2 linked regions of the Arabidopsis thaliana genome follow. The protein of the gene in region 1 interacts with the protein of each later gene in a pairwise test. Each region holds a gene or a part of one and is shown on either strand. Other genes may lie near its edges. The genes, in order: MEE3 and AT1G68160.

The links.
Region 2: the proteins of MEE3 (region 1) and AT1G68160 interact in a two-hybrid assay, tested with the Arabidopsis thaliana proteins (one study listed by BioGRID).

Annotation. Positions count from the first base shown.
Region 1 is NC_003071.7:9,257,496-9,261,345, reverse strand, and holds MEE3 (Homeodomain-like superfamily protein), read right to left. Parts: upstream 1,836-3,850; 5' UTR 1,693-1,835; coding exon 1,412-1,692; intron 952-1,411; coding exon 927-951; 3' UTR 649-926; downstream 1-648. UniProt on the Arabidopsis thaliana protein: Probable transcription factor. Required for female gametophyte development.
Region 2 is NC_003070.9:25,545,234-25,550,774, forward strand, and holds AT1G68160 (ZZ-type zinc finger protein, putative (DUF3755)), read right to left. Parts: upstream 3,662-5,541; 5' UTR 3,393-3,661; coding exon 3,112-3,392; intron 3,010-3,111; coding exon 2,910-3,009; intron 2,519-2,909; coding exon 2,462-2,518; intron 2,321-2,461; coding exon 2,203-2,320; intron 1,660-2,202; coding exon 1,577-1,659; intron 1,498-1,576; coding exon 1,436-1,497; intron 1,361-1,435; coding exon 1,291-1,360; intron 986-1,290; coding exon 935-985; 3' UTR 525-934; downstream 1-524. Other genes in the region: WRKY9 (WRKY DNA-binding protein 9), read left to right, coding at 71-382.

The sequences.
Region 1 (3,850 bases):
CCAAAACAAAGTTTTTTGCCCATTATTACATACTTTTAAAGAAAATAAAATACTGTATTTTACCAAAAAAAAAAAAGAAGAATACGGTGAGAGACATATACATGTATTCGTATACTGTAAGAAGGACACAAATTCGTATCCGCACGGTATATGTGTGTATAATTAGTTAATTGCACGTGACCTATTTTTGGAAGCATCAGATTTCCCGCCCAATTTTAATTATCTACCCAGAAAATAAAAAAAATTGAAATTTGGGGTTTATCTATGAAATTCCCAAATTGAAACTCTCATCGATTTCGCTGGAATTTGAAGATTGCGATCAGAAATTGCAGATTTTTCGAGGTGAGTTCTTCTCGTCCCGTGACATTGTTAGATTCTCCATAAACAGTGATTCACCAATTATCAACACTTGAGTTTAAATATTGAAACAATTCCCCAATTTCGAAGAACCCTAAAAATAGAGATTGGTTAATTGATTCGTTGATTTCGAGACTTCTTCTTGTCCGATTCGCATACTTTGCATTATTGGATGCTCCAATATATAGTTAAGATCAATATTTAATTGATTTATGAATTTGGATTTTTCCATTTTGAAGCAACATTGATTCAGATTGGTTGAGAGATTGATTCGTTGATTTCAAGGTCCGTGAACGAATTACTCGTTTTAAGCATAATTGTAATATATAATTAACATTTAGACATTGGATTTTTCATTACGAAGAACCCTAAATACAGATTTTGGTTAACAAATTCGAGTGTTATTTTTTTTTTGTTGCCTCGAAAAAAAAACCATTTCTTAGGGAAAAACATGAGAAATTGCAAGAAAAAAACATTGATTCGTCAGACATTGAAAAAAACACATCTCTCTGAAGTGATTCTCTTTTATTTTGACGATCATACGTAGTTAGGTTTTGTTGCTTCTTGTCTCACTGCAGCTTCATGCTTCTCATCCTGCAATAAAAAAAAAAAATGTTAAACAGGTTAAAATGTTGTTGGTTCGAGTTTCATGATGATGAGTGGGTTTATTTTTGTTTCTGGAAGTTTCTTAGGGGAAAGATTTGGGAATCGATTAATATTAGATACCATATTGACAAGGAATGATTCTATTTCTAGGCATATTTTTTGTTGTGGGAGCTTTTAGTTTTGGTTCTGATAAAGCCTGAAGAACACTGAGAAGAGAACACTTGGCTGATTTAGAGCCTCTTATAACTCAATATGATAGAAAGTCAAGAGAATCTCTGTAAAGTAACAAGCTTTATGCTGAAACAGACATGCCCTTTATGTTTTCTTGTCATGGTATTGGAATAGAACTTGTCTATAGAAGTATCTTATAGTGGGCTATTATGGATAAACAAAGTTGATTACTTGTTATTAGCATAAATTGTGTCTTATTAGATTGCAACAAATATACCTCTTTTCCTCATCACGCAGCCTGCCTCTGTTGCTGTTTCCTGTAGTAGTCTTGTAGTCAGGGAATGGCACGTGACCATTCTCGATGCTTTCGATGTCACGAACTAGAAGGTCATACTGTCTCTTAGCTTCTTCTGGTGTTTTACCACCAACAGCTCTAGCAACATTGTGCCAACGGTCCGGAGTGTCTTGGTCATAGACTGCTAGAGCACGCTCAAAGGCTTTGTTCTGCTTAACAGTCCATGAGCCAGAGCCATAAGAAGACATTGAGCCTGATGCCATTGTTTAGTAACTAAAGTTGATGATGTTTGGTTTTGTGTAGTAATAAACCTAGAAAAGAAAGAGATTCTGAGGAAATGATATGTTGCACAGATGTCGCAGAGTCCTTGCTCTTTATAAAGAGGTTTTGGTGTGGGGTAGGGCCAGTTGTTAAAAGATATCTTTGCCAAAACAAAGAGAATTTTAAGTCTTTGTCTCTATAGCTAGAAAAGAATATGAGCAAATTTTTTTGTGGAGATCAGTATCAAAGATCCAAACTAATCAACCAAAGATTGCGTTTTTCCATCCATATTTGGCATATGATGCTCCCTAGACACACTTTTCTATAAATGTTATAACTAATATGTTTACTTTTCTTTCCCAATTAGTGGTTATGACGTCATTCTCTAGATTAAGCTTCTTGTCAAAAAGAAACAGTTTAGGTAATAAATAGTTAGGAAAATCTCTCTACCTATGGTACTTAATTCATGGAACAGTCTGGTCTCTAATCAGAGCACAAAGCTCACGTGCTCGCGGAAAATTACAAGTCTTTGGTTGAAAGTTAGGGACAAGTCTCTATTGACAGATGATTTTCATTGACTAATCAGATTTCCTTCTTATCAAAAATCTCAGTGATTTTGAAACATTGTGAGGATTAATTTGTATCCACAAACACAAAGTTGGAGCTTTTCGTGTGTTCACCATAAGTCATATATTCTCTTGTATAAGAAGAATTCTTAAAGAAAAGTGGGGGCAGAGCTTTACCTTGAGATTCTCTGCCATGAAAACCATATCAATTTATCTAGCTGTATTGATGATCTTTCCGTACAATCATCGACATTTTTCTGTGTTTTCTTGTTGTTGAAAAAAATAAACGTCAACATTGTTTACCTACCTTTTTTTTTCCTTGGCTTGTTGGGTCCATCTCCTTGAAGTTAGGCAACTGTGTTTTTCTTGGTCATATATTGTCTAATGTAGATTCTTGGTTGTTAATTTGTTAAATAATCACTTTTCTTGGTGGATATTCAAATTGTTTCTTCTGTTCTTTAGTGTCTGCATTATTGAATATGGGCGGGAACCAAAAGTTGTCGTATTACAAAATACAAACATTAATGTTTCACATGAACACTTTAATTACCTTGTTTGGTAAGAATCCAGGGTTGGGATGGGCAAATAGATTATTGTCATATAACTAAATTAGGTTGCTAAATAATGCACAATAGGACTAATAATATACATACTTGGCAAAAAGACAACATGCATAAATGGTCCACTTGTTGTTTGGTTTTATCTCAGAAAGTGAGCATTTTGTTTCATTCTTTAAAAGATTTGAAGATTTTCTTTTCATGCAACAAAGGTTGTTCATTAATGATCCACTTGTTGTTTGATTTTTAGTTCATAATAAAGTTGACATTTTGATTTAAAGTCTCAAGATTTTCCCTCTCTCGGAAACACAGGTGATTCAAAGTCCCATGGGAGATGGAGGACCATACTCATATCTTATCACTATTGAATCAGGTTTGTTATCAAAAGACCACAAGACTATATAAAGTTATTGTCTACACACTTTTTAAAGTAAAGCTATTTAAGAACCATACTTCTCGGATCTTTCTTGATAATAGTGTTTATCCATTTCACTAAATGTTATTAGTTTTGCTAAGTAAGATGATATTCCTTTACGTGTATAGGTCTTATGATACTTTAATTTGCTCTCTTTCTGGATATATGCCAATATAAGCACTTATATTATTAAGATATTTTTATTCTAGTTATGATAATGGATGGTTCTGTTTCTAAGATGTCATGGTTTGGTTTCAGGGTAGGGGCGGCGAAACTTCTTATCGAGAAGGAAAACTTTAAACAGAGAAAGAATCTTAACAATAATGAGGCCTTGGGGCACAATATATTCCAGAGAGATAATAGATTGCAAGTTGCCAAGAAATTCTGCTAGTAGGCATTGGGGCACTACTGATATTCTCATCGTCACGATGCTTCACAGCGACCTTCTTTGCCTAGGTATTGAAATGGTAAAAAAGGAACACTTTCCCCACATTTAAGTCATAAGTTTAGGTAAATTCTTTAGCTGTGAAAACGATAATCTTGAGTTCATAAGGTCGATTATTTTGTTGTTGAGCAAGATGGTTATTTTTACTTTCTCACTATGAATAGTTGCATCAGTAAA
Region 2 (5,541 bases), on another chromosome or scaffold:
AACCACATTTGAATGGAATGAAACTATGTATATATATATAGTTGATAATGAGATTTGTTACATTGTGAAGGTGCAAAGGTGTTTAGAAGACATGTCAATACTGATAACAACCTACGAAGGAACACATAACCATCCACTTCCGGTCGGAGCAACAGCCATGGCTTCCACTGCCTCTACTTCTCCATTCTTGTTACTCGATTCCAGTGACAACCTCTCTCATCCTTCCTATTACCAAACTCCTCAAGCCATAGACTCTTCTTTGATTACATACCCACAAAATAGCAGCTACAACAATCGAACCATAAGAAGCTTGAACTTTGATGGTCCATCTAGAGGAGATCACGTTTCATCTTCTCAAAACCGATTAAATTGGATGATGTAGAGTTTCCTATATCTCTATGCTTGTTCTTTGGTCCCATTATTTGTCATTATGGATTCTTTGCCTTTCTTCTTGTTCTCGTTTCTAACATTTATGTTTCGTATATACAACATCGAAGGTTTCGGATTGTTTTATTTCGTTCAATGTTGGCTTATGAAAAATAAAGATTGATTAATGCTAAGAAAAAATGGGTACCAAAACAACACACCAAAAGATCAAAAGATTAAAGATGCAAATCTCAACACGCTCTTCAATAGAATCTTTTTTTATACACATCGATCGCTTAGAAATTCTCCAAGACACTAATTGAACTAAGTTTATCTAATAGAACTTGTTAAGAAGGTTTTTTAGTTAGGAGCCAGGACCAAGAACCCCTACATTCGTTATATTATGTCTTGTTTCAACATCCCGCGCAGCAATAAAGATCGTTGGTGTTACGAAAGAATCACATTTCTACAAACTTCCCAACATTTGATGAGCTTTTTTTTACCTCCTCCAGCTTCTTTAGGATAATTTACAGGTAACTAAGGGAAACCAGATGATTTCCTAAGACTTCTACTTCCTATGGAAGCCGCCACTTTGCATCGTATTGAATGGCATCATCACCTGGTACAAATCGAGGAAACCAAAGTCATTGATATTGGGAAGCTATTATTCTTCTGCTCTATTTGCTCTTGATAGACATTTCTACAAACCAAAACATTGAAAAACTGGTCTTAAGATACTCAGCTAGTTAGAAGCACAATAATTCTATATTTTGAGCACTTGAACCAGAGATATGGGGTTTGAACTACGGTAGTGTCTGAGGTAAAACAAGCAAATGGGTGATGTGGACATTTTGATATCTAAAACAATGGACTGTTAATGCAAAAGTGAGCAGCCTATTAACTTACTAAAGTAGTATTACTCACCGAGAGATCATCATTGATTGTGACTGGCAATGGTGGCATCTTGTTCATCAATCCAGGCATATTATTTATCCTGCCAAATCAAGACAACGTCTGGTCACTAAGCTCCACAAAACTTATACACAAAATGTTTAAAGTATCAACTTACTCATTTTGGATGGTGATAAGGTTGTTCCTTGCCTGACGAAAGAGATCTAGGTTATCCCCTGCCTGTTTGCAATTATCATTACGGAGCGGTTTTAGCAAGAACACATTTGCATTCCTTTAAACAAGGTAATCTAGAACTTACCTTATATGAGGAGAGATTAGCTCTAATTTGACTAAAAGCTCGTACATTCTGTTCTATAAGATTTGTTGCATAGCTACTTAAATCTGAAACAGAACCACGAAAGAATCAGTAAGAAAAGAAAAGAGACTAAAGATTATTGTGACTTCAACAAAACTTCATATGAAAGAGAGCTTAAAGGATCATCTTTACAAGGTAATAGGATCAGAGAGCGGACTTAAATAGAATTTCACCATTTAAACATACAATAGTCATTATACTCCTTTACTAGATGTATGAAATAAATAATCTCAAGAATGCACCTCTAGAGAAGGACAATGCAGTTAAGAAACCAATTTCAGTATCTATGGGTAAAGGCTTCTTCCAAGACTAAACTACTTTAGAGACGTAGTTATGTTAGCATCGTCCCAAGAAGCTAAAAGTCTAGCTGAAATACACTAATCCCCTATGAACTTATTTATATAACAAAATACATACTTAAACGACATTTGCACCATAATACATACATCAAAACGTATTGCCTCCTTTTGAAAACAAAATATGATGTTAATGTGTGCATGTCAATGAAAAAAAAGACCTGGAGTTAGCAAATTCAGGTGGAAATCTCTCAGATAAAGATAGATGTTAACCTTCAGACGTAATTTGTTTACTGGTGCTTGTAGATGGCCCTGAGAAAGGATATGAAGCCATGTTATGAGGCAAAACAGAGGGAATGCTTGACTTAGACGACGATTCCACCTGCTTGCCCTGAAGAAATATAAATCTTTTAGTACAAAAACCTAAATTAATCAAAAGATATTCAATCTCAATCCTAGCATCATCTTTCAATCGAACTTACAAAAAAGTCACTCATCAAAATTGAACAAATGGCAAGAATTTCCAATATACCTTGCTAGAACTTGCTCTTCTTCCACAGTTTAATTCTTCTGATTTTCTTCTCTTTCTCTATGCAAAACAAAGTCAGTACATCAACAGACGAAGACAAAAGGTAAAAGTAAGAAATGATTCAGTATATAAGAGAAGAGAAGATTTTGTTCAAAACTCAAAGACTGTTATGCTCACTATTCTCATCTCAAGAACTCAATATTGATACAACTCAGGCATCAATAAGACCAAAAAGTCCATCCTAAGGCAAAACCATTTCATTCTGTGTACTGTAGTTTAAGAAGCTATGTATGAAATCAGAACATGTAGAAACTGTTCCCTGTGTATCATTTTTCTTTGCTATACATATATCATTCATGGCATAAGCGTAGAACTACATGACTGAAAAATGGTCACAAGAAAGCTACAAAAACCGTCAGAACAAGGCAGATATGTGAAGAGAGATACTTACCCTCAGCCACCTACACCGCAAAGCAATATCTCGAATACTTTTATCAGGTAAAGTGTTTCCAATTTGAATATACATATCAATACTTGGCATATCCTTATATCTACAAAAAACACAGAATCAGATCATATCAAATTCCACAGAACAAAAAACTATCTTCATATCCTCATTAATGTTAAGAAATCACAAAACAAGAAAGACTCACTTTTCAAGACCAGCATCCAATATGTATTGTTCTTCATTTGACCATTCACTAACCATGGAAGTATCAAGCTTTAGACCAGAACCCGAATCGGAACCATTCGAAGAATTCCCGGTTTGAAGAAAACCAGGAGAACCAACATTGATCATATTCATATTCATCCCCAAGTACGGACTCATTGGAGTCATCTCCGAAGAAGTGTTAGATTGGAAATTAATAGCGTGACGACTCATCATAGAACTCAAAGAATCGAACCCAGAATTTGATTGAGTAGCCATCCACATAATCGAACACAAACCCAAATAAAAAGATTAAAACTTTAACAATTAGAAATCAAACCCAAAACTCTCCTTTGATCAGATATGAAAAAAGGATCAAACTTTGAGAAGGTGAATCATCTTACGCCATGGATAAAGCTTGGAACTTTATAAACCCTAAGTTAAGTTCTCACAAAGAAACCAAAATTTGATTTTGTTTACCAAATCACAATTTTTTTTTTCTTTTTTTTTTTTTCTCTTGTCCTCTGTATATTAGACAGAGCAGCCTTGTAAGCTATAAGCCAATGAAGGATTTTTAGACAAATAATGAAAAAATTATTAATACATTACTTTATGACTTTTCACCATATTGATGATAAACTTAATTGAAATCTAATATTAATTATTTTCCAACACAATTAGTTGAAATGGAAAAAAATGGATTTTGACTATAAAAGTAAGTAGGAATGGGGAATTTTAGAAAAGATTCTCTTCCTAAATTGAAGGGAGAGATATGACTAAGAACATATTCATTTTTTTTTTTTTACTACCAAAATTAGTAGAAAAAAATAAGAAAATAGGTAAATAAATAAAAGAGATGGTTGGCAGATCGTGGAATTTAGTAAATAGTGCGAATCCCAATAATAAAGCATTTGATGCCTTTCTTTCTTCTACCTCACTTTTTTTATTCCAAAAAGTTTTATCAAGTAGACAAGATTTTTTTTTTTTTTTTTTGTTTTCTAATAATGTCAATGTGTGACATCCTCGTTGTCAAAATCTCAAGATATATGAATTTGATTCATATTTTTTCTTTATGTTAATACAAAAATTAATCTTAGCATCTCAATAATTGTGGGATAAACTGATCCGTTCGTACAATACTTTTACAATTATATGCGACTATGAAAATAATTGGACTCATAGTTATGAACCAATAACAGAAGCAAGCATATAAAAATCGATGAAGAGTTTTTTTTTTTTTTTTTGATATTTAAGAAATTATTGATACACTAAATAGATCAAGAAATATATTCATACACCAAAATGATGTTTTGATTTCTGTTTTTTTTTGTCAACATTTATAAGGAGCGAGACTCGATCCTCGATGTCATGTTCTCAGTGGACTTATCATTTGCAACAAGACTACTATCACTTAACAATTTTGATTTCTGTTTACTATCTAAATGCCATCAGCTTTTATAATTTTCATTTTTTTTCACTAGATAAGTTAGGTTTTTTAAAATTTGTTATTAACTCACACTTCAAATCTTATCAAGATTTTACTAAGGTAAAATTGATGTACCGTCGTTTCTTTGTCGTTGCAATTTTCCTCGATTGATGTATGCTCTATTAGTCCAAATTCAATTTTCATTATCCCCAACCCGTATAAGTGAATTAACATAAGCTTCTGGTAAAAAATGCTTATCAAATGAAACATGTTAAAAGTCATGGACACTTAAACATATTATCAGGCCTGACGTTTATATTGGGCCACATGCTATATTTGTAAAAGACTAATTTTATACGCATTTAAGATTTTGCTTAAGAAACGAATAAATTTGGGCTCTAAAATGCTATGAGCCCAATAAACTGCACATTATACTTGCTCCACTAACAGTAATACAGTTTCCTTTTTTTTGGTAGGCTAATCTGAACAGTTTCCTAATAATGCAAATCAATATAATTAATTAAAGATTTGTTTCATTCAAGTTAATTTAACTCCGAACATTATGTTATGAAGAAGAGAAAGACTTTGTTGTTGGACTTGATGCACTCTTTCGCTCATTAAGGTGATCCATACATTTTAATTTCAAAATTGTTGGCAGGAACTAGATTTTGGTTTTACTGATTTACAATGTTATTAACTACAAAAAAAACAAAAAACAAAACAAATAAGTTATCATATCTATCAAGTCTCAACTATTAACTTGTGGCCTTAGCATCTCCAAATTTCTACATTATCCCTGCTTTTGGTTTCTTTAAGACTTTAATCCCAACCTTAATTCACAGTTTTTTTCTCATATATATAGTCCTCATCATGTAAGTAAGTCCTAGCTAATTTTGCTGAAACCACTCTCTCATATTAATTTTTCGTAATATGTTTAGAAATTAGAAAATAAAATAAAATTAGAAGCTATATATAATTAAAGTTTGTTCCACTAAAGAAAATCTCAAA